Schizosaccharomyces pombe: one gene and its partners. The protein of the gene in region 3 interacts with the protein of the main gene of each other region in a pairwise test. Each region holds a gene or a part of one and is shown on either strand. Other genes may lie near its edges. The genes, in order: dlc1, mug5 and ssm4.

Region 1 (10,020 bases), 1.7 Mb from region 3:
ATAATGGAGCAAGCCCAATAATATAATTGGTAAATGCATTGCTAACTTCCTCTGAAGATGTTTGGCCAAGTTTCCACAGTATGGCTAGTAGCCTTTTATTGCTTTTCTTTTTGAGACAAAAAATCCTCAAGGTCATTTCGCCGACCTCGTTCGTTATTGCAAGATTGCTGTCTGTGTCGGAAAACAAGGTCGTTAATGGTCTATGCGCAATGTTGATATCTGCGCTTTCATTTTCTATTAAATGCTGATAATTGTGAGAACAATAGTAAGAAAGAAGATTACGAAATTCTGGTTTTAAGCGAAGACCTTGTAGGGAAAGCAACCTTGGCTGGCCCGATTTAGTGAATAGTATAAGCGATCCCATGGTTCCGTCTTCTTTTCGTATAACATCATTCATTTTCTTTACTAAAGGGTCATCCAGCGAATGGAGAACAGGTAGCACACTCAGGGATTTCAATAGATACCCACCACATTCCAAAGGTGATAGGACCGAAGTCCACCAGCGGTCGATAATCTCAAAGCTAGATTTTTTTTCAATTTCGTCGAATAAATATGAACCGTGAAATATATTAAATTGTTCCCACAAAGCAGCAACCGTAGTAACCAGCACACTTGTTTTTGGACACGGCTTCATGACAGATAGAAATATTGATGGGGTTAATGAAAGAGTGTTTTTTTCGTCATTATTCATTAAAACATTGCAAGAGTGTAGCTCGCGACATCCTTCAGGTCGCTTGATAAGAACCTTTTGAACAGTTGCAGTATCAACTTGTAGACAATCATAACTCTCAAGCAAAGAAAAGGGTGAGTTTTTAGGTGCAGAGGAAGTAGTGGATTTAGAATCGGTCGGCTGTTCTTTTAAGATATCTTTAGTTTCAACAGAAAACCCGTACATCCCATGAAATAAAGCAATTTGATTTTTGAGAGCTTCTAATTCAGGATTGTTAGCAGCCATTTCATCTTTATTAAGGATTGGTTGTTTATTTCCCATCAACTCGGACTGGTACATCCATAACATTTCAATCACTCCATCGGGCGTACATCGGTGAATGCAGAAGTGTTCCACTAGCACCATTCTGCAACAAAATTTATAAGGATGGCTCCTAAAATCCCATTGAACGTTATTTTTTTAGGTACAGATGAATTTTCAATTCCAATTCTACGCAAATTAATAGGTTGTGTTCAACGTGTGCGCGTGGTTAGTGCAGGAGGAAAGAGACAATCGAGAAGAGGTGAAATACCCCTCCCACCTGCAGCAATGGAGGCAAATGCGAACGGTTTGGAATACATAAAACTACAAGATGGATGGAAAAACTTCCATATGAGACCTGATGATCAGCTTGCAATTACGGCTAGCTTTGGAAGGTTTGTGCCTTTTAAAATTTTGAATCAACTGCCATATGGGGGGATAAATATACATCCATCCTTACTTCCAAAATATCGTGGAGCAGGCCCTGTTTATTCTACTATATTAAATGGTGACCGTCTGGCCGGTGTGACAATCCAAACAATGGATTCAAAGCAGTTCGATAAGGGGAAATCATTAGCTCAAGCGTACCTTAAATTAAATGGGAAAGAAACATATACACTATTGACAAAGATTTTGAGTTTAGGAGCTGCCGGCATGTTAGAACATGTCCTTTTACAATCACTCTATTTACCAAATTGCCAAACAAATACCGTAGCTCCTCAAATACATGGGCGGATTACAGATACAGGAGGCCTACAACTAATTTCAAAAGAAACATTTCCATCATTTCAAGAAAGTTGGGCTAAAAAAATTACACCTGAAGATGCTCATGTTAATTTTGAAAGCATGAACACGCAACAAATATACAACATGAGCAGAGCTTTTAATCACGTATGGTGCATTTTAAATAACAAAAAAGTTTTTTTGTACGACGTTCATCCGTTGCACTCAACATCAGCAGAAGATTGGATTCACATGAAGCCAGGAGAGTTTGCCCTCTTGGAGAAAAATCTTCTGTTGGTGAAGACATTAGACCATGTAATGGTTATAAAAGGAGGAATTCGACTATCTGCTAGAAAAATAGTTGATCCTGTCGAATGGGGGAAAACATTTAATAGTGGACGAGGGGGTCGATTCCAATATGTGTAAATGATTTAAACGGTAAATAATAAAAAATTGATAACTTAATGCTTTAATTTAAATATTAATTTCCTTTTTTATTCGATTGGCTAACGTCAATATCCTTTAAAGCGCTAATGTAAATTCTAATACATACTCAAAATAGTCTTGCGTCAGCTTGAAAATAATGTTGGTATCATCTCTAAAACGGAGAAATCCATAAGAGTGCTTTTAATAATAAGATTAGCGCTATTGTATGGGGCCTTTAGATTCTTAAAGGTGTGTCTCTCCATTAAAAACTCCGTAGCCATACAAGTTTGATCCTCACTTTCACCAATTGAATCTCATTCCAATTTCTAGAGCGGTTCATATCATACAGTGTAAGCTAGAACCAGCGATCTAAAAAAAAGAGGATAAGAGTGAATTGATGAAATCAATTGAAGATCCAAAACTTTATTGTTCGCAGCGTTGGAGCGACCAAAAAGCGAACTTTCACAATTTGAACCATTCCATGTGCGAAAAAAACAGCATTATGAATTAATTTCGTTCCACTCAACCCTTTTACCATAGCATCATTCGCAAAGACGTGAATGGAAAAAATAATATTAGACGTCTACAAATTGGCAAAAGGACATTGCAGGTCATCAATTATTGAAGAAGGTAAATCGAGTTTTCATCGATTAATGTACTATCATTTATAACAAAAAACTCACAAAGTAACAGTAATATAACTCGTAAACTGGTAAATTGTCAATCGATTGGTTCAGGGAATTAGCGTCTATAAAGTATGAATACAAATGAAAGAAGAATATTTTTGGTAACTTTGAAAAGAGTAAAAATTTGCGTATTATTTAGCTGTCATGCTCCAAAATCTGTAGGTCGATCTTCAACTGAGGAAGTGATCTCCGATTTCCGTGTATCAAAGTGTCAGAAGACTGCTCCTCGCTAGGAATTAATTCAATCGTTTGATTAAAGGGAATTTTCTGCTCGTTACAACGACGTTTTAATAGTTCAACTAGACTTACTAGTTTTACAGTAGCATCTCCTTCAGCCACAAAAGAAACTTGTTTTTCTTTGACAAAAGAATCCCACAACTTTAAAGAAAGTTGCTTAGCATTTATACTTTTCTCTATTATCATAGTTTATAAGCAAAAGCCTGCATGGCGTTTAGTAGGCTAATAACGTGGTAGTTAGACAGGTGCTCCCAAACATTAATTAATAAATTACATAGTTGAAACAACATTTTACTGCCTTGTAAAAAGATGTATGATTTTAATCTTAAAGCAAAGGTATATGATATAACAAATTTAAAATCTTTTTCGCTATTTTTATTGTAAGTACCTCAGTTTCTTGCTAGTCTTAGAGAGTTCAAGCAAAGTAAAGCTCGATCAAGCTAATACTGACACGATTCAACGTCCTTTGTAACCTTTGGAAAAAGGACGAACACGAATCGTATACACACCAAAATGCTTATAAAATACGAACATGTTACAGAGCGCTCACAAATGTCTGAATTTTAAGAAACGTAACTATCGTAGATTGCATATAATAGGAATAAGTAGAAAAGAAGAGTAGATAGTAAAGTTAGTAAATTGCAAAGTTAAAGGCAATTTGCATCTAAGGCAAAAACTGGTACCAGGGGATAAAAAGAGGGAATGAAACAAAGAGGTCTTTGAAGATGATCATGATTGGAACAGTTTCGATAATATGGTAATTAAATGGAGATCCACATAATGCTCAATACTACGTCAATAGCCTCACCGCTCTCTTTGATAGTAGTCATTCCATCCTTTTCACAATTCCAGCAAGCAGCGTGAGCTGCGTGAACGCCTCTAGAAGGATGATCTTCGGGAAGCTTTTGTACAAGAGTGGAACTAACAATCCATTTGTAAGACTGGGTTTCCTTATTCAAAGCATTTAATACGGCATACTAAATGAGACATAAAGTTAGCTACCATACATAGATATTTGTAAAATAAAATGAACTTACAATAACAGATTGATTCATTTCAGCTGTTTTGTCTCCGTCATATTCGGAAGCCTTCAAAACCGGCTGAGCAGCTTCTAGGCAAATTTCTTCAAGTTTTTTGGAATCTATAGGCTATTTTCATAATCAAATTAGTAAACGAATCGCGTATTTGACGACTTACACAGCTCATTTCGAAATGGGGTATTTTGATGAGTACAAGGAGGGTACGCAGTGAGATAAAGACACCCACAGCTAGTACGACGTTTAACGGTGACAACCCCATCGATACAAAGTTCAACGCGAACATAACTCACGTTAACATTTCTTTTTATTGTTGATTTCTTTTTGCTTTAAACCTGAAGTTAAGTAAGGATTTTTCGCTTACAGCGAATCGTCAACTTCACGTTGGGATGAATGAGATAATTCAAATAAAGCATCAAGTATTGCTTTAAAGGAAAACAGCGTTTATTTCTATTTCTTACATTCTTTAATTAATACCAATTTGAAAACAGTTGATGGTTGAAACATCGATAATTGATTTCGAAAGAAATGCATAATGATTTTGGAAACCATGTCTTCCTCTAACCGTAATAATTGTATCGAAAAAACTCATAATTACACATAATTACTGGTGTTTGGATTACCAAAAGACATTAATGTGTGCTTTACGCTTTTAACAATACTCTTAGCAAGTCCAGTTTCAGTAATGAATTGAGTGTGTTTCTTTGAAGACGGGCCGAAGGAAAAAACAACAATTTAAATTCTCTGAACTTAAAGTGTATAGAATCTGTTTTTAGTTATCGAAATGTTAATTCAGCATGAAGGGAAAGCGATTGTTTTGCTGTTCATAGAATCCAAGTATCAATGTAGCGAAATCATCCAAATCTTTAACTATTTGATCATTGAATAAAACTACAAGATAATTTATGTTTAGTATTCCTACCATTAGTTCTTTCAATAATTTTACAAAAATGGAGAAGATCTCATCGGTACTGCGATACATAAAGATGCTACTACCCAAAGATTTTAAATCAATGATCCTTTCAATCCCCTAACCCTTTTATCCTTTTCCTTTTTTTTCTTTCCTATAGATTATTTACTGACTTTTATTTACAGGGACATTCTGTGATATAACGGTATTATAACTTGTTTAATTGTTATATAAATGTAAACGTTATTGCCGAAAACCATGTATAAAGTGCGTTATTCTAAAACTGTATATAGAATATAATAACATACTGCGCGAAATTTAATTGTGAGATCGAACAATTCAGTAACTGAGTATTTGGAGTAATAGTGAATTTTTGCGAAGGAAAATACTCGATTACCATGTAAACAAGGGTTTGATGTATGTTAAAAAGTTGTTAATTAGAAATGGATAATAGCCACTCTATTATAATTTGTTCTAAAAAAGTTGGGTATTCTTTAACGACCCGTTGGAACCGATCATTGAAGAAACTTCAATAGTGGATGAGACATTTTATGAATTTTTAAATTAGTCAAATACGGTTCAAATTTTAGAAAACATACGTGGAAGTTGCATCCTGTCTAGAATAAAAAATTCATTTCCTTATGTATCGGAACGTTGACAATCTTGTTGACCAAAAGAATATACTATCGAACCCAAATCTTAAAAGTCTTTTAAGCCCATTATACCTTGTGTAAAAAAAAATAAAAATAAAAATAAAAGAAGAAATAGTAGAGAATATGCACAGTTTTGATCCTCTTTAAAACTTTAGAGGGATGAAGCAATGCATACTTACTTAGTAAAATATGGATATAATAAGCTAGCTAAACTTGACCCATTATTTGAGTAATTATATTCACTATTCAACATAGTTTCCTAAATTCATTATTACTTTAAATTAATGAACTAACTAATTTATTAAAGATGAAAACAAATGGTTAAAATTGAGTAAAATCAATCATTATATTTTTTGTTAGTCTCTATTATCAACCTCTTTATTAGTAATACATTCCGAGATATAAAATTCCAGAAACGGAAATTATTTGTTTTAAACGTATAATTACAAAACCGAAATCGCCTTATATGGTGTAGGAGATAAATCTAGTAAATTTCGTACCTTCTTCTACAAACATTTGGCGTGAACATGCTTCAAGCAAGGATTGAGGAAAAGCAAAAGGAATACGAACTAATATGCAAACTAAGAGATTCTTCTAATGATATGGTTCAACAAATAGAAACGCTTGCTGCTAAATTGGAAACTTTAACAGATGGAAGTGAAGGTATGTTCATTACGAGGAAAGTATATAAAAGAGCCTTGTCACCAATCTGTTTAAGTGCTATTCATGTGAACAAGTATAAATATCATTACATTGAGAAAAGCAAAGAAACAAGTGAATTGATTGGATCTGCAGGATTGCAAATAAAAGCAATCATTTGCCGACATGTCTCTAAATGAACTTCTACCTCTCAATAATTCACCTAAACGTAAAAAATATAATCTGTTTATTTATTTATTTTTTCTATTTTCACTACTACTCATACATGCTTGACGACTCTTTTTAATCCATTATAATAAATGTTTGACACTCAAATCACTAACAAAATCAGCTGTTGCTACTGTTCTCAATAATTGGCCCAGCATTTTTGAGTCAATACAGATAGCATCCCAACATTCAGGAGCTTTAGTCCGAATTCCTCCTTCTACTTCAAATACCAACGCATCTGCTACGGAGCAAGGCGATGTTGAAGAGGTATAAAGACTTAAATACTCTTTTTAATTTCTCACTGAAGTAGAAAAGGCCAAGAATTGGTTAAAATAAATATTATTGTTCTGTCCATTTATTCATATTGTTTCTTCTATTTCAGAATTGGTAAAGCCGACAGCAAACCCAAGTTCCAAGTATCTTCACTTCCTAATGAAATGGAGAATGAGATCACCTTGTAAACTAAATGATATCTAAATTTTTCATTTGGTCATTTTCTTTTGGCGTTCGTCCTGTTTCGCTTGTTTGAATACTCCCAGCATTCCCTTACGACAATTAATTTCTTCAAGGACAAACAATTTATTCAGGAGTGATACTATTGTTATGTAATCAACAAATATCGTGGTCCGATGCCCGATTTTTTAAAAAAAAGTTAAACTTATTTATCTTAACCTTCGCCAACCTCTCGCCATCTGCCACTTACCTTTTTAAAAATATTTCTTAGGAAATCTTGTTGATCTTCCGCTAGAACTTTTTTAAATAACCAATAAAAGGCGCTTTTGCTGGTCCATTAGTTCCATTTGTCACAAATCTGCTTTTTTTACGCAGTTTTACATCTTTAGGAAAAATCAAATAAATTTTGTCAGTTAGTATTTAATATGCCTGTTGATATCAGTTCTCTTTTGCATGCTGGGTATTCAAACCCGTTGCTTCGTGAATGGCAAGGTGTACGTCCCATTACCAAGTCATCTCTAATGTATCCTATCTTCATTTCCGAAATAGATGATGCTAAGGAAGCCATTGATAGCATGCCTAATCAATTTAGATGGGGTGTTAATAGATTGGAAGAGTTTTTGGGTCCTCTCGTCAAAAAAGGTCTTCGTAGTGTAATTCTGTTTGGTGTCATCGAGTCCAAAAAGGACTATTGTGGTAGCATGGCCGATTCCGAAAATGGACCAGTTATTAAAGCCGTTAAAGAAATTCGTCACCTTTTTCCGGAGCTGGTTGTTGCTTGTGATGTTTGTCTCTGCGAGTATACTGATCACGGCCACTGTGGTCTGTTATATGAAGATGGCACTATCAATAATGCTAAATCCGTTGAGAGAATTGCTGAAGTTAGTGGAAATTATGCCTTGGCAGGCGCTCAAATAATTTCTCCTAGTGACTGCATGGACGGTCGTGTTAAGGCGATTAAGCAGAAACTTGTAGAGTTGGAACTGTCTCATAAAGTATGCGTTATTTCCTATTCTGCAAAGTTCGCTTCTGGTTTTTTTGGTCCTTTCAGAGCTGCTGCTAATGGTGCCCCAAAATTTGGTGATCGCAGCTGTTATCAACTTCCCTGTAATGCACGTGGCTTGGCCAAAAGAGCAATTCTTCGCGATGTTAGAGAGGGTGCTGATGGTATTATGGTAAAACCGGGAACACCTTATCTCGATATTTTGGCAATGGCTTCTAAGCTAGCAGATGACCTTCCTATTGCTACTTATCAAGTTTCAGGCGAATTCGCCATTATTCATGCTGCTGCTGCCGCTGGCGTATTTGAATTAAAAAGACATGTGATGGAAACCATGGATGGCTTTATGCGTGCTGGCGCTAACATAGTTTTGACTTACTTTACTCCTGAATTATTGGAATGGCTAGAATATTAAACAAAAAATAATGCGAAATCAATCATCTTCAAAATTATCATGATTGAAAAATTATTTTGTTTATATTCTTTAATGGTCTAGAGTTTCACTTATGAAATTGTTTTTCGAATCTGCGATTACCGGTTCTTGTTTATTAAAAATTTTCGTTTATAATCTGTAGCAGTTATTTACGAAAGAAATTGTTTTTCTTTCTTTTAAAATACTTTAAATTCGTGTGTAGAACAAGATTTTATCTTAGACAACCGTAGGTTGCCAAATTATCGTGATATCCTATTGACTCCTTTTGCAAGCGATGAACGGACATGTTAAAAATTTAATATTTAATTTATATAATTTGATAGATTTGTCTCAATACTTCATGGCAGTTAGAATAAAGTAAAGTACATTATCCACGTTTACTGACTATAACTTTCTAGCATGATAAGATAAATTAAATATTCACTATACTTCACCCAAAGTAATTGGAGCATGTTCTTCTCAAACATCTTTTACCTTATGAGTCAACATTTGGTAGCTCAGTGAAGCTTCTGACTATTTATGTATATATCGATATAACTTACAATGAAAAAGTATGACAGCTGCAAATGATTCAAAAGTAAAATGCAACGACAAGGAACATGCTTCTACGCTCTTCAATTGCATATGATGCATAATGCATTGGAGTAATAATATGAATCTATGTATATAAGGTAGGACAACAATTAGTACTAATTAGAATCAAAATCTTCATCCTCAACACGTTCAAAAATTTCAAAATCAAAAAGAATGCCAACAAACACAGAATCTCATCTAGTGAGCATTTTTTTTTTGAACAACAGTAAGCAATGTAATTTAAGCAGCCGGGATTAACGTCACATTACGATTCCGGAAGAATTAATTTAAAGAAGGAATCGTATGGACGTATTATGTTGCAAATTGTAAGCGGATATTTAATAATGGGAAAAAAATAAAAAAAGTATCGACATAACAGTGAAAGACAAGAAGGAAAGACGTTGAATAATCATGACTATTCTTGTTTCGATATGCAGCAAGACAGTAAGCGAAGATGGAACTTCTTTCGTGATTTCTCTTTCGAGGGCGCAGGCTTAGCAGCTTGTTGAGTGTCTACCTGTGTAGGCTGGGTAGTCTGAGGAGCAGGTTGCTCCACCCGTTGCGGTTGCTGCTGTTGAGCGGAAGAAGTTTGCTGTTGTTGTTGAACTTGGGGAGAAGCCGCTTTCCCTGGTATACCATCTTTCTGCGTCGCAACACTGGCATCAACCACGTTATTGACTGGAGTTTGCTTACTTGGGCTAGAGAGCAAATTCTGGCGAGTACGAGCATATGGAGGAATAGTTGACTGCCGCCTGTTATTAGTACCCTGAGTATGTCGACGTTGGACGACATGTTGCTTAGCTGCACTGTATTGCCATCCTTTTCCGTTATTTAGGAGAGTCCAATCATACTTTCCGTCATCAGTTTCATTGATGCGAAGCAGTAAACTGTCGAACAGACTTCGTAGGTAGTCATAATCTGGAGCTTCTTCGTAACCCAAATTCCGAGCATAAATCATGTACTGTAAAAATTCCTTTGGATATCCTTCGCATAGCTCTTTCAAAGGAGTGACTTGTTTCTTTTCACCAATTTTTTCGTATTTTTGCTTATTT
Region 2 (10,409 bases), 710 kb from region 3:
AAAGAATAAGCCTGTTCTGATCGTTCCAAATTTTGAGAATATAAATCAAAGTTGGAATTATCTAAATACAAGCAAGTTGATATAGGATCCAAAATTCCAGATACACCATTTTGGTCTTTGTCAAATCCTTGCTTTCCAGAGTAATAAAGAACAGGAAGATGCCTCATAATGTATGTTTTTACTTCCATCACATTATCAGGATGGACCCAAAAACGAAACGTACGACGACGATACATACTAGAATTGTAATCAACATTGTGCTCATGCTTCGGTTTCACTTGCACGGAGTTACTTGGTGCTGAAAGACCATCACGTAAAGTATTATAAAGAGAGAAAATTTCAGCTAAAAGAGGATTAAATTGGACACTGCCTAAAGGACAAGCGCGAAGACGAACCTGAAACACAGGACGAAGAGAATAGCCGGGATAAAGCTTATCATGCTTCTTAACGATTTTAAAGAAACCTGTTAAGTTAAGACGAGTGTACTTCTCCAACTTCTTAACCGTTTCAGTACAAGAATCCAATCGTTCTAGTAACTTGATGGCTTCTTCCTTAGAAATGGGAGGACCATCAGGTTCCTGAGAAGCAGAAACTTTAGATTTTACCCAATCCACTGATTCATTTAATTCTTTCAAAATTTCGAGATGAAATGCATAAACCTACAGAAAATGTTAGCAAACGTTAAGCGTGATAAGCTTATTTTTCTTAAAATACAAGGATTTATACCAAGCATGGAATTTTAGATAACAGCATTCTACAGGAGCAACAAAATAAAATGTGTGATAATTTCAGGCTACTTATTAATTTAAGCTCCTAATTACAATCCTTGTAATACAAAATTTAAGACATATTCGCTTGCTACTTACCTTTTCCAGTTGGGCATCCATAACAGAAACAAACTTAGACTCATCATTCTCACCCCATGAGGGTGCTTCCTCTTCAGTTTTAAGCAAATGTTTTAACTCTGGATAATTCATATATTTATCTCTCCATGGTTCATAAATTCCAGCTTCTATACTGTCACTGAAACGCATTGCTTTCTTGATCCAAAAAAAAAGATGTGGTGTTGTAGTAAAGTATTTTCTCGCAGCGCCCTTTAAATTTTTAATTAGAGCAGCGAAGTGATCTCGTTAAAACGATTTTTGTTATTCCATTACGTATTACTATAATAACGATATGATAAACATCGCTAAGCAATGTCCACATATTCGTATTTCTTATTTTGTCAACAATATGAAAGATGTTATTGCAACTCAATTAAAACTTTACAATTATCTATCTGTTCTTACTCAATTGACAAATAATTTTAGTAAACAAGTGGAAAGAAAACGAAGTGACCACTCCATTATTGAGTGTTGTACATAAGCCTTCCGTTTTAATATACTATGAAATAGCTTTACATTCCTTTCAAACAAAAGTTTTTTTTTGAATAGATACAAGCCGATTCTAACTTCAGTGACGAATTTGCATCATCTAGAATTGGATGCTGGGTGCTTCATCTGTACTTCCGACTACATTGTTGTAAACTTCCGTTGAGGTAATCCTTACAATAGATTTTATTATCCAAATTTCTATTTATCCATTTTTTACTTTTTTTTCTTTCTTTAATTATTAGGAGCTGAAGCAACAGCACTAATAAGATTTACTCCTTTATAAGTGGAATACAAAATAATTCTTTTGGAAATTGAGCTTACAATATATGGAGTTGGAATTGGACTTATTAACCGGTCTACAATTACTTTCTGAATATTGTCCGAGAGTAACACCAAATGCTCCTCCAAGAAGGGCTTCGGTAGCTGTTATAATAGCTTTTAAAGAATCCCAAGATTTTTCTAACCCAAAATGGCCTCAATGTATTCCCATTACTTCTGTTCCTTATGTACTTCTCATTCAACGCTCATTTCGAGACACCGATCGATGGTCTGGTCATATGGCCTTGCCAGGAGGCACACGCTCTTTGACTGATAAATCAGACATTCAAACTGCACACCGTGAAACATTAGAGGAAGTTGGTATTGATTTACGAAAAGAGCATGCACATTTTGTTGGTGCTTTGGATGAACGTGTAATCACTTCTAATTGGGGTCAATTTCCGTTACTTCTTTTATCTTCCTTTGGTATGTATTATATTTATTTAACAAACGGTTTTTTTTAGGTTTCTAACTTTATACTTCCACAGTATTTATTCTTCCCTATATGCCGTCGTTGAGACTTCAAGAATCAGAAGTATTTTCTGCTCAATGGTACCCATTGGCAGATCTACTCTTGCCTGAATGCCAGACTAGGATCCAAATAGATTCTTCACGAGCACTTAAAAAGACTTATCCTAGGTTTATAAAGACTCTCTTTCATTTGGCTGTTGGAAACTTGATGTATTCTGCTATACGTTTAGAATTTGATCCGAGCTCAGCTACCTACTCGCTTCCTCCCTATCAGCGCCCTTTTCTTCGGGGTATCACACATAGTATATTTGTGGACTTATTCATTTTTCTCTCCCCTTCATCGGCAAGGCATTGTTTGTGTTGGTCACTACCGTACTTTCAGCATTATGATTTGCGCTTTATAGCATCTTTTTTTACTCAGTTTTATAGGCTTCGCTTGCATCAAGTATATCCACGGGGGAATTGGGTATTCACATGTCTTAATGGTTATTATCCCTATTTAAAACTGACTTTACTTGTTGGCTTTCTATTTCGTCTATTCCTGGTTTATCTTCTATTTCTAATCATTTCAGCCTACTACAAATCTTAACTTAAAGTCTTTTAAGTTTATGTGATTTGTCCTCTTTATTTATATGACATTTTCTAAACCAACAATTTTTGCTTACATTATGAGCAGTTATTAAAATACATCCTTTTAAAGTGTACGTGAAATTTATATGCAAATATATAACAATCACAATCTATTAACATTATAAGTGCTGTAAAATATTAGGTAACTGCCAGCAGACCATAGAACGTAAAAAATTTCAGTAACTTGGGAGTAAAGTAAAACGAGAGACCCTGTCCAGCAGAAAAAGTTATGAATATTTTGATGAACATTTTCAATCCGATAATGAATTTTTCAACAGAACCAAATGAATGGTAAAAAGATAAAAGTACCAACAAATATATAGACCGGATGGATTAAAATGAAACAATGAAAATAATTAAAAATGGTTCCCGAAAGTAAAAATAAGGGGTCTATTACAACATTGCTTAACCTTTTTGATAAAGCAATACCGAAGAAATCGAGCAGACCTTCCAGATGCTGTACGTTATATCCTCCCAGACCGATTATAATAAATAACAAAAAGCAAAACTAGAAGTCTAAAAGTACAGAACACCTGTATAGGCATTAAAATTATATATCGACAAGGAATCAACAATTTCGGGTCCCGTTCCAGAGGCTAAGGTACCACCTTGACGAGCAACTGTGAAGGAAGGGGATGCATTCGTTTCCATGGGTATTGTGAATTGGTTCACACCAGGAACACCACTGAATGTTTGTGTTGTAGAGCCACATGTTACGGTGACTTCCGCGGATTGCAACAGATAAACAAGCACAAATATTTCATCTTCCATATAATCACCACCGGAGGGATACGACAAACTATCAGCGGTCGCTGTAGCAGATTTCGGAGTCGGTCTATACCAATAAAATAACGATTCAAAGTTAATGTACGGTTCTGACAAACCAAGCTTGTATGCAGATATATATGGAGACATCAAATACCGCCATGCGGTATGATCAAACCCATCAACATATCCTTCCGAACCAGCCGGCAAGGCGCCTTGAATATTTCCAATATAATGTGATTCACCGTAATCGTTCCAAGTCAAAACCTCAATCATGTCAGGCTGAACAGATAGCATTTCATTCCACCGATCAATAATTAACCAATCGCTTTTATAGGCCCAATTTTTGTAAGAAAGATGAGTGTAAAACCAAGGCGAGACTGGTGCAACATACAACTTGCCTAAAGAATTGGCAAGATTCTGGTAACCAATGTCATCATTGTCGTTCATATCAGCATCCGTTGTGGGCCATGCGTTCCAAGAGAGAAACCCATCTGCAACGCTTTCTTCCAGTGCCCCTTGGCCTAAGGAGGTCCAGCTTGGGACAAAATATATAGGATAACCAGCAGATGCTAAAGGCTCTTTTACAGCAGAATCCCAGCCCGTGCTAACATCAGAATAACCGAATGTATCTGTCTCTCCAGCAAATGTAGAAACAAACACTTTACCATCATAATACAGTTGGTTAGGCTTATCAGCAAATCTTCGAACAACACCTTCAATAAAATCAGCATCTGCTGAAATAATACTCATATCGAAAGAAATAAAAAGCTTGAAGTCTGAGGAAACGCTGGCTGCCGCGTCATATGCGTCTTCAATTCGCTCAACCTGCCACGCGTCTGATCCCATATTGAGAGCGAATCCGTCTATACCGACAGCGATTGCATCCTGGATATCTTCCTCCCAGTTAGAAACAGTGTAAGGATAAGTATTGCCAACAATAAAATGGGCAACAACCATCTTATCAGCGTTAGTCAAATTAATTAACGCTGAAAAAAGAAGAACCAGAAATAGCACAAGCTTCATTTTTTTCCGATATATAAAATACAACAAGGTTTATATATACTTTGAAGAATGATGCTTTAGATGTGCGAATTTCCTTTGTCTTCCAATATCCTTTGTCTGCCGAAAAACAAAGAAATTATAAATGAAAGAGGTATTAGTTATCGCTTCACCAGCGATAAGTCAGTATCAACGGGGTAAAACATGCCTGAAATATTTATATTATATAAGATATTCTTGGTTGAGCGATACAAAGAAAGGATTCATGAATTTCGTGTTAGTGGCTGGCATGGGCTGGAGATTGAACGAAAAAGTGTAGCATGGCTGGCGAACTTTTCATAAGTATAATCAAAGTTGTAAAAATAAAATTAATTGGTTAAAAAAGCTCGCGATTTAATCGCGCCATCCACTTATCACCTTAGTTTTTCACATAACTTTACATTTGTCAAAAGAAAGTAAACCCATAAAGATCGAAAGAACCATTGTCTAACAACATAAATTTAAGAGATGACTGTTATTTTGAACATGTGAGAAGTATTTAAGCACTACTGTTCTTTGATTCCAGATATAAGTTTAACAGTTCAAGACAAGGGGTAGAGGTTAGGTCTGATGAAATTTTTTTAATGACGAAGAACACTAGCCTTCTCTCTCTTGTTTAAAAGTTTCTGGATATTATAAATCCTTTCACATAAATTTAAAATATTTTGGTTATGCCGAAGTGTATCTGCTAAGTAATATGACTCGATAGTGGTTGATATTTTTTTTAACTGTCTTTGATACAAGCTCAGTAGTACAGAACAAGAGGTATTATATTCTTCCAAGCGTTTTAGATCATTTGACAATGAAAAGAAGTTTATATTTGATAGACTTTTCTCGTAATGTTCAATCATACGCAGAGTGCAGCAAAATATCAACATCGTTTGCAACGTACCAGTATCTAAATCTTGGTAACAATCAATTGGTTCCATATTTGATAAATGCCGTTTCATCAGTATAGTTAAAGCATGTATTGACACGTCGTACTCTTTTGGAAGCTTAAAATCACATTCTCTTTTTAAACGAATGTATAAATTGCTGTCAAATTCATTCATTAAATCTTCTAGGATTTTAATTCTGTTTTCAAATCCAGATATGGTGAGCTGCATTTGTTGACTAGACATTCTACTTAGGTAGCACATATAGAGAATTAGGAAGAAGCCACAGGCTTTTATCTCTACTACGCGTAAACGCGTTTTTTTTAAAATTAAAGTATAATAAAGGATTAACAAATTACGCTGAATATCCTAAAGTAGATACACAATTATGAACGCTGATGTTGATATTTAAGCTTCAAAATTTATAAATAATTGTATCGAAAAATATTAGGCGTCTGAACTTAGTCTAGTAAATGAATAAATAGCGGTTCAAACACCACCCGTTATTTCATCCTAAAATCACCCACAAAACTTGTTAGTTCTAAGTAGTAATTTAATGATTTCCATCTCCGATCGAGTCAAAAGAATTTTCAACGTTTGCGATTTAAAGGTCGATAAAGTCTCATAAAGAAGATAATTATAAAGCAGCAACCATAAATGACTGCACTCAAAAAGAATATCATATTAGGATATGACACTTTCATAGACTCAGTATATACAAATGCATATATTGGGCCTCGAATGATCAAAGCAACCGCTTCAAAAACAGCAAACGCAGCTAATACTCGACCATTATATTCGGACTGGACTCCATTAAGAGCAATAGATTGTACGCAAGGAACAACCATATTTGAGATGGCTTGTATAATAACAGCGGTGAAAAGTGCAACATCGGATTTGGCAACTGCTAACAATACCGCTGCACTCAAAGCAATAGCATAGCCTAACTGTGCATTCCAAACGTCTCGTTTAACTATAGTGTATTTCTCGTCAGCCGTTCTACCACGCAATATACTAGAACGTGAATAACCAGGACGAACTAAATAAGAGAAAACATTTCGAATCCCTTGTAGGGAAGAGGTATTGTCTGCACGACTTGGATCTTCAAATAATCCTTCAGAAGAATAAAGCTTTTCGATTATTTTTTCGATAACTTTAGAAAGTAAAGGGAATAGCGCAACTAATGTGATTGAACTAGCAAAAGAGTCGGTGGATAATATTAAGCTAGCCTTCATTGGACCCCAGCCAAATTTATAGTCCGTATAAAGCGGCAATAAGCCCATTGAACCAGCGCCGAGTAAAGTTAAAGATATCAATATTGCTGCAAGTAACACGTCCCAGTGTCTTCTTCCTGCATGGGTATCAGCATTAATATCGTACTGATGGAATTCGCATGATTCCTCTGTACATAAACTTCGAGGCCAAAGAATTATAAGTGGCTCAAGGCATGATCTCCATATCGAGGAAAATCCAGATATTTTATTCTGCTGCTCTTTACTTTCCGAAACATCTAGGCTTTCTGGAAGTATCAACCAAACGTAAAGTAAATAAATAATCCAAAAAGTTGAAGTAATATAAAATACATAATACATATGAGGAGTGTATTGCACAATGAATCCGCTTAAACTAGGTCCCAAAGCGGTTCCTAGATGGTAAGCAGCAAAATTTAATCCTAAATACCATGCACGAAACTCGGTCTTAGAACAATCTGCAACAAAGGAATTTTGGCTGGCTACAACGGTAGAAATATAACCGCCTAAGCCTTTCAAGGCAGCAGCAAAAAGAACAAAATATGGATGCTTGGGGGCATAGGACTGATATAAAAGCCATAAATCACCAAGCAGCAAAAATGAGACGGTAATGAAAAGTACAAGGCGGCGACCATAAATATCCCCCATTGTTCCATAATAAGCGGTGGAAAAAAGACCTAAAAAGGCGGCTAAAGAGCCAAAAGCGGCACGGACTTTTGAAACACCAGTAGTAATTTCCGCTAGTCGGCATATTGGGTCATCTGGGGACAACTGTGTAGGATCAAGGTTATAATGAATGGCACATAGTTCCTGTCGAAGTAAAAAGAGCAGAGGTATTTCAATCATGCCCCAAGAAAAGGCATTAATAAAGTTTAATGGAAGAATCAAAAGTGGAGATAAAGAACGTCTTCTGGCGATTTCACGACAACAGTTATCATTGTTACATATAGATTCATTATTATGATGAGAATTAGATGAATCTGGTTCATTGAAAGAGATGGGTTCATTAGAATTGGAGGTAGAGTCGTAATTTTTAGGCTTCGCCTTAAATGAGTCATGCGAGCTTGACTTTGCAACGTTATTATTGCTTGAACTGGCACCATTGGTTTCATGCTTTAATGAATGAGAATTACCGTTGCATGCAGAACCTTTAGCTTGCAAAGGACAATCAGAACAGTATTCTCTTTCTGGTGAAGGAGTTCTGGATCGAAAGGGCTTGTTCACTGACGGATCGGAAATTAGTAATGGAGTATGATCATCATCGTGTGAAGACATTTGTAGCTCCTTCTCAAAATGGTGGGTACGCTGATAAAATAGAATGTAAATTATAACCCAAATACTCTTCTACTCGAAATGTTCGCAATAATCAATTAACTCGTTGCCCTCAAACTGCAGCATCAATTGTAAAATTCCTTGCACCTATATCCTAAAAATTTTTCTATATGCAATATATACGTTTCACAACGTTTTCGATTTCGAGATAATTAGAAGACTTTAGGTAGTTGGTGCTACTAAGAAGGTTGAGAACCGAAGGAAAATATTTGCTCGAGAAAGTAATTTTGAACTACTAGTTACTATGAAGAAATAACTATATTCCAAAATGACAATGCAATGTAATTGCTTTGTAGTTGGCTAAGCCTTTAGATGTATATATATTAGACGCTTAGATTCTGGACTAGTTTAATTAATGCTGTTACGTTGTGGCGTTATAGTGTCATCGTTAGTCGTTGAATAGTTCTTATAGTGAAATTGGGTATAATATTCGAAAAAAAATTAGCAAACTCGCTATTTTATGCTATTTATTAATTCTTTCTGTTCTTACTGTGAAAGATATTTCTTATATTCCACTTACGTTTGAACTGAGGCTCTTGCTGTATTTTAACTTACGGCTTGCAGTATCAATATAACTATTGCTACTAGAAATTACCTTTAGTCTACGTATTCCATTGAAGCTCTCCGAACGCATCATCTATAGGAAGTTTATTTCTTTTGGAACGGCAAATTTGCCAACTTCTTGTCTGTGAACATATTTTTGTGATTGTATTCTTTCTTCTCAATTCCTTTATTTCATGCTAAGTTGAGCTATTTGATTTCATTTTAGAGCATATACCGGTACATAACTTATTAAATTCTGATTCCATAACAGGAGTGGAATTGATTTACTAATTCTCGGAGTACATTTATTGTAAATTTGAGCATCTCTATTATTTTGGCTTATTTTAGTTAATTATTGACTGTAAACCAACAACATGACTACATTACTGGAAACACCTGGATATAGTGAAAAACTTCATGATTCGATTGAAAAAAAACTTTCTGAATATGGGTGGGGAGAAGAGGCTGCTTCTCTGGCCGATTTTGTTCTTGTGATGCTTAGCAATGGAAAAACACAAACTGAAATTAATGAAGAACTAGTTGATTTAATAGGGTCCGATTTTGATACTAGCTTCTCACTTTGGTTATTTAATCAAATTGAAGAGCTTGAAAAATCAAAAAATGCTTCAGTTGAGTCAGTCAGCAAGATCGACGAAATCGATTTTATCGAGAAGGAGTCAACTGACAAGTCGCAGCAATCTTTCTCTGTGCCGGAAACTAGCATACAACCTCAATCTTCTCAAACTCCTAATATAACTTCGTTACGTGAAGAGAAGGAGCTACCTACTGGGCGTGTCGGACAAAAGCTCAAACTTACATCTCAGAAACAGCGATTCAATCCCATGGCAGCTTCGTTTAACTACTCGAAATCCGTTATGCCTGCTGCCAAGCGTGCTCTCACTCAAACCCAAGAGGTCCCTTTGTGCAAATATGCCGATAAGTGCTCCCGTGCTAACGTATGTATTAATATCAGATAATTTGTTAAAACTAACTCTTTAGTGTATATTTGCTCATCCGACACCAGCCGCAGCCCCAGGAGAAGGTATGGTCCTGAGCAGTGAAATGTGTGCTTCTGGTAAAGAATGCAAAGCTGCTGATGTAAGTACCATAATAATTTAAATCTAACTATTACTAACGTATACAGTGTGTCAAGGGACATCCATCTCCAGCTACGGTTACTACATTACCACCTTTCATGTCCATGTCAACCATTCCAATTCCTTGTAAATATAAACCGTGTTTGAATCCAGCTTGTCGTTTTATCCACCCGACGAAAAGCAGAAATATGACATGGCGGCCACCCTCTAAAACAGAAGAGACGTCCCTGAGTGAACGTTCGTTTGCTGTTAACGAGTCAGAAGAACAACTTCATGTTCCTTCTGTGTAAATTTAGAGAATTATGATACTATTTCGTGTTCGTATAATTGGCACATATCTACTTTTGATAGTCAAGCCAGGATACTTCGTTTAAGAACATACCTTCTAGAGTTTGCAAACTTGATATTTATTTTATTGTATAGATTGCTAAAACGATAAAGTTTTATTTGTCGCTACGTTTGCTGCAATCGGCAATTATCAAGTCGCTAAATTGATTTAAAAAATTTGTTTTCGTTATATTGATGTCTTTTTAGTGAATGAAAATTTTATTTTGATGTGAATTATGCAAATAATGATTTATTTACTTCTTCGGTTAAGTTAATATTATACATATTCAAATACCCACGTTTGTTGACATTCATTACTAAATACATCTTATGTTACTTGTTGGTTACTTGGCTTACACCATGTTGTTGACAACAATCACTTGGTAT
Region 3 (10,464 bases):
GATGCCAATCCTGAATTAAGCTTGCTCTTGGATTACAATCTTGCACGTTGTGAAGAAGAATTGGGTAACACTTCTGTAGCTAGTGAAGCGTATGTTTCGATTCTCGAAAAACATCCATCTTTTATTGATGCCCGTATTCGCAAATGTTTACTTCAGTTATCCAATCCTAACGAGGAAACGTTTAAAGAAATTCGTCATATCATGAACGCAGATTCTCAAAATTTAGAGGTTCGAGCATTTTTTGGTTGGTATTTGAGTAAACAAAAGCGTCGCCCAGTAGAAGATCCTGAAGTTAGACACTGCTCTCAGACCCTTAGACATTGGCACGATGACATTTACTCCCTAGTTCAACTCGGTAATGCCTATATGAGACAGGCAAGAGAGTTTCGTGTACATAATGATCGTGAAAAGTTAAAAAGGCAAAAACTTTACATCAAAGCTATTCAGTCTTATGATCAAGCTATTAAATTTGATCCAAAAAACGCACACGCTGCCCAGGGTATTGCCATTATATTAGCACAAAACAGGCAATTTTCTAAAGCTCTACTTATTTTGAGTAAGGTTCGTGAAGCAATTAAGGATGCTACAACACTCATAAACATTGGCAATTGCCTTGCAGAACTCAAACAGTTCAGTCGTGCTATTGAGGTATTTGAAACCGTGTATTCTAGTACCGGAGAAAGTGATACTTATGGTGTATTGAGCTGTTTAGGCCGAGTTTGGCTACAGCGTGGTCGCGAAAGCAAAAACGTCGACTATTTAAAAGAATCCGTGCGATATGCTACATTAGCTTTAGAAAAAAATCCCGAGAATCCAAGCCTTTTATTTAACGTTGCCTTTGTACAATTCCAGCTATGTGAGCTCATCCGTCAGAAACCCGAGAACAGTAGAACTGTTGAGGATCTGAACTTTGCAATGCAACAGCTTGACGCATCGATTGAAACTTTTACCAAACTGGTGTCTGTCGAACATCCACCCTATTCTCCTACCAGTATTGAACAACGTGCAAAGATGGCTAAAAATACTACTAAGCGTCAATTGGAGCGCGCTATTCAAGCGCAAATCGAATATGAGAAGAGTGTTGCTGCCAAACTTGAAGATGCTAGGATTCAAAGGGAAAAGGAGAAGGCTCGAAGATTGGCAGAGGAAGAAGCTTTACTTAAGGAAAAGCAAGAACGTGAGAGGCAACTTCAGGAAGAGCGACAAAAGATGCAAGAAGAAGTTTTGGAGTGGAGAAAGAGTCAGCAGAAGGCTTCTGAAGATGATATGAGCTTGTCTGATGACGAAGAAAAACAGTCAGGCAAGAAGAAAAAGAAAGATCGAAAAAAGCGTAAATCTAAATCGAAACAGGAATCCTCGGATAGCGGAGTAAGCGAAGATGATGAAATACCATTGAGCGATGCCAGAAATAAAACTAAAAAACGTCGTGTTAATAGAAGAGTCATATCCGAAGAGTATACTTTTGACCAGGATAGTGACGCGGAGGGAAATCAAGAAGAGGAGGTTTCTCGTACTATCGAAGAAAAGCAGGATAACGATATCACAGACAATCAAGATGACAATAAAGAGTTAAATCTATTCTCTGAAGAGGATGAAGAATAATAATTATGCTCATTGCTGTTTGAATTATGCCGTTCAGATAAGAATTTTCTTATTTCAATGGCATATTAACTTTCTCCCTTCAGTTATTTGTTGTCTGTCATATATATGATTTATGATCTCGTGTAATAATATCATTTAAATTAATTTTTTGTATACAAAAGCTCTTGTCATTCATTTACGCTTTTTAGACTAGATTTGTTTTTTTCTATCCACCCTTTCAAAAAGAACTAATAGGTTTATTCACCCAAGAATCGTTTCATTCTACTTAAATAACATTAACATGCGTGTTAAAAGTGATTTGAACATTGGTGATTAACATGCTCAACTGTGCAACATAGTGATGATTTTAGCGCGCCTGTATTGCAAACATTGTTCCCCCCTCCCCACACTAATCTCACAGTTTCTAACCATTTTATCAAGTACTTTCTGAGCCTTTCTTTTTTTTCAAATGAGTTATTTGTCCGTCGGGGATGAAGTCCTCATCCGTGGAGAATTAGGAATAGTTCGATTTGCCGGTAGTACTGATTTTGAAAGTGGTATTTGGTTAGGCGTAGAATTGTTAAATGGAAAAGGAAAAAATGATGGAAGCGTAAAAGGGAAACGATATTTTTCATGTGAGAAAGGAAAAGGGATATTTGTACGCGCATGCTCTTCGAATGTGATGAAAAGACCAAGTGTCGTCAAGTCAAGGAAAAAAGGATCAGAAAACATATCAAATTTTATGGAAAAAACTAAAGCAATTAAACAAAAATCACGTAGGGAGCCCTCAAAATTTGAAAGATCATTGGCACGCCCATTGTGCATTACACCTATTGATTCGTCTACTCCCACAAAGACAGCTACGTTTTATACTTCATCTACAACTGAAAATCTAGATGAGCTAAATTTTTCAACAGAAGAATTATCAAGTTTTGACACTACTTTGTTAAACTCAGATACGAGCAAATTGTCTGGGCTTGACGATAGTAGTTTTATGGAAGAGGAATTTGTATGGCAAGTTGACAACGTTTTGCAGGAATGTGAAAAAAAATTTACTCCTCATTCAAAGGGAAGTTATTTAAAAGAGAATTTAAAGTCAGAATTAAGGAAGGGTCGTTTGGATGAATTGATGTGTGAAAATACCGCCTTAAAAGAAAAAATTGATAAATTAAATAAGGAATTAGAGAAAGTTGAACCTCAGTTGACATTCCTTCGCAGTAAAAACAGTATTGAAAAACCTCGGAATTTTAGGCGTGAAAAGTTTCTCAAAAAATTCTTGGCTATGCAGAAAGAAATAAAGTATCTAAGAAAGCGAAAGTTGCAAATTCGAAAGATTCCTAATTATAAGTACTCTGATCGAAGTTTGAATTCCAAAACTCCTAAAAGCCAGGACAACTGGACTACACAAGTTACACCATCTAGTCTCCTTGGGGTCTCAGAGGTTTCTAAGGTTTTGCAATTAAAACAGGTTCAGGTCGACATAACTGAGCTTGTAAAAATTCCTAAAAACCCGTTTTCTGAGAAATTGACAATATCTAACGTGAATAGATACTTAAATATTGTACCGGGAAGTTTGGATTTACAATTTTCATTAACAAATGAAAATTTTGTACATTGGAATAGCACAGTTTATCAAGAATTATTAAACTTAAAGTCCAACAACTCTTCAGTGGATGGTGTGAAGACAAGAAGGCAACTGTTGGAGGAAAATGCTTTGTTGTCTCATAAAGTATTAAAACTAACAGAAGAAATTCAAGACTTGGAAACTTTGAATCAGCTAAACACTGAAATAGAAGCAAGACAATCGGAAAAGTTAAATGAGGTGCAAGAGGAAACTCAAAGGCTATCTCAGTTACTAATATCTTCTCAACCTGCTTTGACAGAAGTTAAACATTTGAAACTATGCTTATCAGACTCTCAAGAGGAATTATTGCAATTAAATGCAAAACTTGAGAAAGCAAATATTGTAATAGACGAGTTAAACAGTGCAAAATTGAAACTATCAAAACAAGTGGAGGAGGAAAGTAGTATGAAAGACGACCTTACAGAAATGAACCAACGTTTAAAAGAACAAATTGAATCATACGAGAATGAAGTTAACTCTGAAATCACTTCTAGAACATTGAAAGAATTTGAAACATTAAAGACACAGTATGAGAAAAATCTTTGTAATTTAAGAGAACAGCTAAAGACCGCAAGGATGAAACTGGCCGATAAATATCCACAAGGTGACAATACTAGTGAAAATATAGACTGGCTCAAACACAGTTTACGGGATTCTAATACTGAAAACTCAATTCCAAGCCCATTGACCTTTGCCTGCAAGGAGATAAGAAAATTAGTTGCAGATATTAAACCCGTTTCAGTAGAAAAGCAGCTGGCCTTGAATTGGAAAAAAGATATCGAGCGACCCAGTTTTCATCACAATCAACAGCTATTTAATTATTGTCAGTTAACAGACATTCTTTCCAAAAAATGCTAATCTTTTAATGAGATATATAATTCAATTTATTAATAGCCGCCGAAAATTAGCTTCTAATCTTAACTGCCATATTTTAACGAATTTATCATTAATGTACTGTATGGTGTTGCTTTAAGTTTAAGATCGACTTGTAACCTCTTTTGTGACCTGTTATGCATTAACGAAATATGGGGTTGAGTATTTGATTGGTTCATGTTTGTATTAAACTAACGTACTTTTGGCCAATTAGATCGACTTTGAAGATTAATTGTCGACGTGAGAATCATGTAAATAAACAAGTTTACTTACCCTAAACCAACCACTTTAAGAGTGGGAAACTGCTTGTTTCACATTGCACGGTAGCGATATTATTTTTTTTTGTTACCTTTTTTCTATTAAAGCGTATCAAGCGTTTCTTCACCTTCTTGCAGAGAAAGGGTTAGAAAATGGAAATCGACCAAAACCTTTTCCAGTTTCCCATTTCGACTCGTGATGCTGTTCACGAGAAAAATTGTACTTTAAGAGTTAAATCTACAAAAAAAAGAAGAAGCTCTACGAAAGATGAAGAAACGCGTGGTATGCATCCCCATATAAAGAGTTCGTTTAGGAACGGAATGAACCATGCACGTGTCATTAGGGAAGAAGATATGGAAGTAGTATTTGAACCATGTTTCATTAATCTTTCCAAACCCGTTTACGTTGTAAATGGTATCGGTGGAATAAATGAAATTCATAAATTACCTATACTATTCTCTTCATTTGTTCTCTGTTTCTTTGGTAATGTCAGCGGTGATTATGGTTATGTTGACAACGTCCCACTTCACATATCTGTCATTAGTCACTTTTATCCATGTCTGCAATCCTACAACACAGATGTGATTGGTATCACTACTGATACGGTTGAAAATATATGTCAATGGAAAGCCCATCTGCCTCGTGCTCTACAATTTTCATTACCAGTTATTTCGGATTCTAACAATGAAATTTGTAGAGAGATGGGAATGCTGCATCCTCTTGGAGGAGCAAAATTAGCTTTGGATGCAATTGTAATTATAGATTCCATAGGGCGTCGACGCGACATCCTTCCCATTCGTACTACCACTTGTGTATCTACTTTAATAACAGCAGTTCAAGAAACTGTTCGATTTTTGGCAATTGAAAATGGAAGGTTGCTTTAAAAGCCTTCTATGATGATCACTCGTTCAAAAAAAAAATGACAAACAAAAATTTTTTTACGTTTCAGCAAAAGTTGATGATATTGTCACACATAAAACCACAAAACATGGGTTCAATGGAATAGAAAATACTTTCTATAAATACATATATATATATTTAATATTTCACAAAATAAATTACAATGTACCATAAATTATGCTGTCAAAAATTTACGATAAGGTACGGATGGGTATTTATTAAATTTTTCAAAAAAAAAAAAAAAAAAAGTGTAAGGAATAATTTATTAAACTATGATATCTTTAACAAAAAAAATCAATGAACCAATAAATTAAATAAATAAAAAAGTCAACTCTGATTATCAAATTATAAACATCACCGATATCAATTTCAATCAGTCAATAAATAATTTGGCATATTCTTTTTGAAGCATTTACTTTTTCAGAACAAAGCCAAGCTGATAGATTTTAGTTTAAATTCCTCTATTCAAATAAAAATGACAGTGCAGGCTTCTATAGTATTATTTTGTTCAAACAAAAGTAATCAAAATTTGAGTAATAAAAAAAATGCAAAAATTAAAAATAATCAAATATTCTCTCCCTCCGGGATTCGAACCCGGGCTGCAAGCGTGACAGGCTTGTGTACTACCCCTATACTAAAGGAGATCGTTGTAAACTAATCTTTATAATTATATATATTTAAGAAATATAATTATATGATATAATTACAGTTGGTTTATTCTTGTGTAAACCTACCAAAATTAATTTTGGACATTTGAAGCATAAAAATATTGAAACTATTAGTCTTCTAGATGTTGGTTTATAATATTTTTATCGAAATCGTTCAAACAATTTCATGCTAGTGAATTGAGATCTTAGTTGCAAAAGTGTCAGTAAATCAAACTATATCAGGAATTGCTTAATAGAATAACCATGCTTAGTAGATAAATCAATGTAAAGGATAAAATAGCTCTGACGTCAATGCTATAAGCGCGCTTTTTCACGCCCTCGTTTTTTCATCCCAACCGAGCATAACAGAACATATACGGAATAGTGAAGCATACCAGTTCAATTAATAACGAGGTAGTGCGTCTGCTGCAGCGCAGCAGCTTGGGGTTCGCTACTCTAAACTAGATTTCATCGGTATTTGGATAAAGCACAGCCACCTAGCGATTTTGGCTTAATCACAGCATGAATCAACTTCCAAGACAGCAATTGTTAATTTACTATATATAGTCATGTAAAAAGAAAACGAAAGAAAGAAAATACACAATTGTAAGTAAAGAAACACAATCATCATCCTTTGCTACGAGAGACGCGTTTTAAATCAAACGGGAGACAGCTGGTCAAAGGGTTTTCTGTTTAGAGAAACATGAGAAAGCCGTATTATTGAAGGAGGAGCTATTTTTAATTTAGTTTTAAAAATTTCTTTGAACATTTGCTTTCTAAGTTAAATACCAACGGGAGATTCGAATGATACCAGCCTTTGTTTGGATTTCTTTCAAAACAAATTCAGTTTCCTTGTTTTTTGTTCAAGCTCGTTAAATTTACACAGTCATTCACCTTGGATTACCGTATTAACAATAAAGAATCCCTACAAAGTCTTTATTCATATCTATCGTGCGTTGATGCATTTCATTATTGAAAATCAGGATTTTCTAATTTGAAGGTGAAAATGCATCATCAACCCCACCCAATAACACCGATGATCACATGCCGGTGCGCAGCAGATATCCGGAGTTTTCGGAGTCTTGTGCGGAGTCTTTGCGGCCGGTGTCAAGCGTACACGGAATGAAGGAATTTTTCCGAATACTCCGACTATGATGACCGAAAGGTGATTAAATCATCGGTATATGCAATTTACCTTACGAAACATCGTACTAATCCATTAGATAATTAAGAAGCTAAGGAAAAAGTTGTACGGGAAAAAATCCTAGTTGTTAAATTTCTCAATTTCCCTCTGTTCAAATCTGTTTTCCCACACTACTGTGAAAACATTGCGCTAGCTTTCAAAGTTATTCACATGTCGATGAAGCTTACGCAAAAGTACTTGTATGACATCTTGTGCGGTTCGCTAGCCTCTAATAAGCGTTTAAAGTGATCACGTTAAAAAACCGCCTTTAAAATGTAAACGGAACGTGGGTACTGTCTGTATGGTGGAAGTGCGACCAATATTACCTCTGCATCGCCAACAGTCGGACTTTCTTGTATGCGCTGACCATTTATTATGTAAATCATTCACCTCGCCTTAAAAATATATTACTACTCCTCATTTTAATTACCGTGTATGATTCTACATGCAATTTTTGTTTCTGCGCTTTTCCCTACACATGACAAAAGTTTTCATGACTGCGGATCATGAGTTACGTTTTACCGAAGTAAATTCTTGATATTGTCGAACTTAAGTTTGGAAAATTTTTGATATATAAAGAGATGAAAATCCTTTTAATATCGCCAACAAATCTAATTGCATTCATTTGTAATAATCTTCGAAGCCTTACTAAACAAAGTAAATAAGTCTTCATCAATTCCCTTTAATCTCTCATTATAATTATTATTATTATATTAACAAAACCTCCATATCTTTGCGAGGACTTTTTGGTTTATAAAAAACAGTTAATTAATTGGCATCTATTCATTGAAAATCTTGGATTTTTATTACACGCACCATGAAGTTTTCTTCGATTCCCATTGCTTCCACATTACTCTCTTTGCTCGTTGCCTCCAGTGTGACAGCTTCCCCATTGCGTAGACGCGATGACCCTTTGAACGGCAGACAATTTGGTCTTTTGGCTCTTCACTCCGGCAATGAATACGTCCATTTGCACGGATTTTATGTTGGAGATTCTGGTTCTGTTTACTTGGACCCCGCTGATGGCACTGATGACGCTGCCACCTTTACTATGTCTAATGGACAACTATCTGTTGGTAATCGCTATGCTTCCGTGAGCGCCAATGGTGAAATAGTTTTCAAATCTGATACTAATTCTACTTCTTCTGGATTCAGTGTCGGTGAGGCTATTAGTTCCGGATATAGCTTAAAATATAATGGAACTGAATCCGCCGTTGCTTGTCCTTCTCTCGTCAATAACCAGGTTTATCAGGTATTCTTTGGAGTTGGAAACGGTAACCCTAGTTGTGTAGGTATTGCTGTTTTGGCTGTTTTGCCTCAACCCATCTCTTCATCTTCCACTTATAATAGTACTACCTCTTCCTATCATAATTCTACCTCTACTCCACCTCCTACTATCACTTCCACTAAGGCCTCTACCGTTACATCTACCGAAGCCACCACTGTTACGACCACCACAGCTGTCACCGTTACGGCTACTGAAACCTACACAGTAACAGCCACGAACGGAGGCTCCACTATCACTTCCACCGGAGCTTCCACTGTTACATCCACTCAGCCCTCTACCGTTACTTCTACCCAACGTAAAAACACTGCCACTACTACTAAAACTACCACATATGTTGGACCCAGTCCTTCTGCTTCTAGCGTCGTTGCTTATACCACCAAGTGTATTGTTGTCCCTGTTATCACCACTGCCGCTAGCCAAAGTGAAGCTGCAACTCCATCACCTTCTGCTGCTGTATATCCTTTGTTCCCCCATGGCATTCGTTTAATTGATTCGACTAAGCCTGAAGCTAACTCCGGTAATGTTTACTCACCCGTCGTCTTTCAGAAGCAAAACAATCATACCAACACGATTTTCACATTTGATGTTCCTCAAGTTTCCGGTAGTTGCGAACTTAACTTCCATCTCGATACTAGCGGTTTCCCCATCACTGTTGAAGGTGTTAATGGCACTGGCCGATTCATTCTCTTCAACCTCTCCTCCGTTGCCAACGATTCTACTGTCTACTCCAACCGTCCCAACCGCATTGCCGAAATTGGACGTTTCAACTGCTCTAGCTCTGGTTGCGATTATGCTACCAATGTTACATGCCCCGACTCTTATACTGCGGTCTCTTATGAAATGATGGCTCTCACTGATGACTCTTATTTGAGTTTCTTTGAAGAAGCCGATCCTCTTGAGGGATTAACTTTACGAGTTTAAAGTATTATGAACTCCAGCTTGCATTGTTTAGTTTACTTAATTAATATTAAATCTTTAAACCCTTGTCTCTCCATTTTTTTCTTGTGCTTGTTTCCGGCATAGCAGAGTCTAGTATTTGATAGACAGGTTGTATTGTAGGCGAGACTTTAGCGATGCTTGTTTTATGATTGATATAATGCCTTAAAATTAGAAATGCTACAACTCTAATATGTCAGCAACTTTACGCTGTGTTGCAAATCACTAATTTTATATGTTAAAATACTAGTTGAGATCCGCTTATCGATAATAACGGAAGACCTGTTTCTATTACTAAAATACCCGTTTAATTAGATATTAGACAGAACTACTGTAAGTAGAGCTCAAACTTTTCTTGTATGTCAGTTCCGGCATGAGGCAGTTATAAGTAGAGACATAATGTAACAATAATGATAGTATCTGTTACTCGTACATTTTACATATCGCTTGCTATACATGAGTAAATTTCAAAAAAAACTCATCTCTAACCTACCGTTTGCTGCCTTTTTTAAGGATTTGAGAAATGCAGTAAGAGTTTTCTTTGCCGATTCATAATATTACAATAAGCAAATAAATGAGGGAGTAGCTTGCTATATGTATTCTAATATATAAGTTAAATTGTTACCTATCACTAAAATAACTTATAACTGAGCTTCATACTTCAAATTTAGTCATAGTTCTCAGTTCTATTTACAACTTACCTAGTAATTTTGTTAACGATTTTTCAATGCACATAGAATTTTGATAATCTGCAATTACCGGTTCGGGGATCTAATTAATATTTACCATATGTCATTAGTAGTACGTAGTTGTTAGCTACGCAGTTTAGTATTTATTTAACGACACATTGAACTACAGTTAGTTATATATTAGAACATTAGTTAAGATCCGTTTATTAATAATTGTAGCTATTTATTCATCTATCCACATAAATTTCACATTCATAGCTGCTATTAGAAAGATTATAAATAGAGCTACAACTGAATCTCGTTCCTCAGTTTCACTTACTAGCTAGCTATATCTGTGACTGCTTCTAGTAGACTCATTAAAACAATGAATATAACACTGTTATTTAAACATACCGCATACCCCTACATCAAGTTGCAAGAAGCCATATAGGAACACATAACGCAGCTCAGTAAATTGACCGCAATATGGGATAACATAGAGTAGT

What was found.
Region 1: the proteins of ssm4 (region 3) and dlc1 interact in binary tests that used the Schizosaccharomyces pombe proteins (3 or more experiments, as listed by UniProt).
Region 2: the proteins of ssm4 (region 3) and mug5 interact in a two-hybrid assay, tested with the Schizosaccharomyces pombe proteins (one study listed by BioGRID).

What each region holds. Positions count from the first base shown.
Region 1 is NC_003424.3:2,782,298-2,792,317, reverse strand, and holds dlc1 (dynein light chain Dlc1), read right to left. Parts: upstream 4,297-10,020; 5' UTR 4,249-4,296; coding exon 4,240-4,248; intron 4,191-4,239; coding exon 4,080-4,190; intron 4,020-4,079; coding exon 3,804-4,019; 3' UTR 3,600-3,803; downstream 1-3,599. Other genes in the region: SPOM_SPAC1805.10 (uncharacterized protein), read right to left, coding at 1-1,075; methionyl-tRNA formyltransferase Fmt1, read left to right, coding at 1,097-2,119; protein Pop6, read right to left, coding at 2,941-3,228; DASH complex subunit Dad2, read left to right, coding at 6,170-6,305, 6,634-6,782; porphobilinogen synthase Hem2, read left to right, coding at 7,388-8,377; serine/threonine protein kinase (CK1 family) Cki3, read right to left, coding at 9,384-10,020. UniProt on the Schizosaccharomyces pombe protein: Acts as a non-catalytic accessory component of a dynein complex.
Region 2 is NC_003424.3:5,238,381-5,248,789, reverse strand, and holds mug5 (protein mug5), read right to left. Parts: upstream 5,738-10,409; coding exon 5,180-5,737; 3' UTR 4,676-5,179; downstream 1-4,675. Other genes in the region: vtc2 (polyphosphate synthetase), read right to left, coding at 1-659, 867-1,034; SPOM_SPAC14C4.10C (Nudix family hydrolase), read left to right, coding at 1,700-2,117, 2,180-2,751; cell wall glucan endo-1,3-alpha-glucosidase Agn1, read right to left, coding at 3,309-4,583; SPOM_SPAC14C4.07 (transporter), read right to left, coding at 6,064-7,998; poly(A)-binding protein Nab2, read left to right, coding at 8,973-9,554, 9,598-9,696, 9,743-9,985. UniProt on the Schizosaccharomyces pombe protein: Required for correct meiotic chromosome segregation.
Region 3 is NC_003424.3:4,528,273-4,538,736, reverse strand, and holds ssm4 (dynactin microtubule-binding subunit, p150-Glued Ssm4), read left to right. Parts: upstream 1-2,000; 5' UTR 2,001-2,050; coding exon 2,051-4,063; downstream 4,064-10,464. Other genes in the region: RNA polymerase II-associated Paf1 complex subunit Tpr1, read left to right, coding at 1-1,602; thioredoxin family protein But1, read left to right, coding at 4,489-5,220; SPOM_SPAC27D7.11C (But2 family protein ), read left to right, coding at 7,884-9,275. UniProt on the Schizosaccharomyces pombe protein: Binds to nuclear microtubules with the effect of either modifying their structure or function. This then promotes meiotic nuclear division.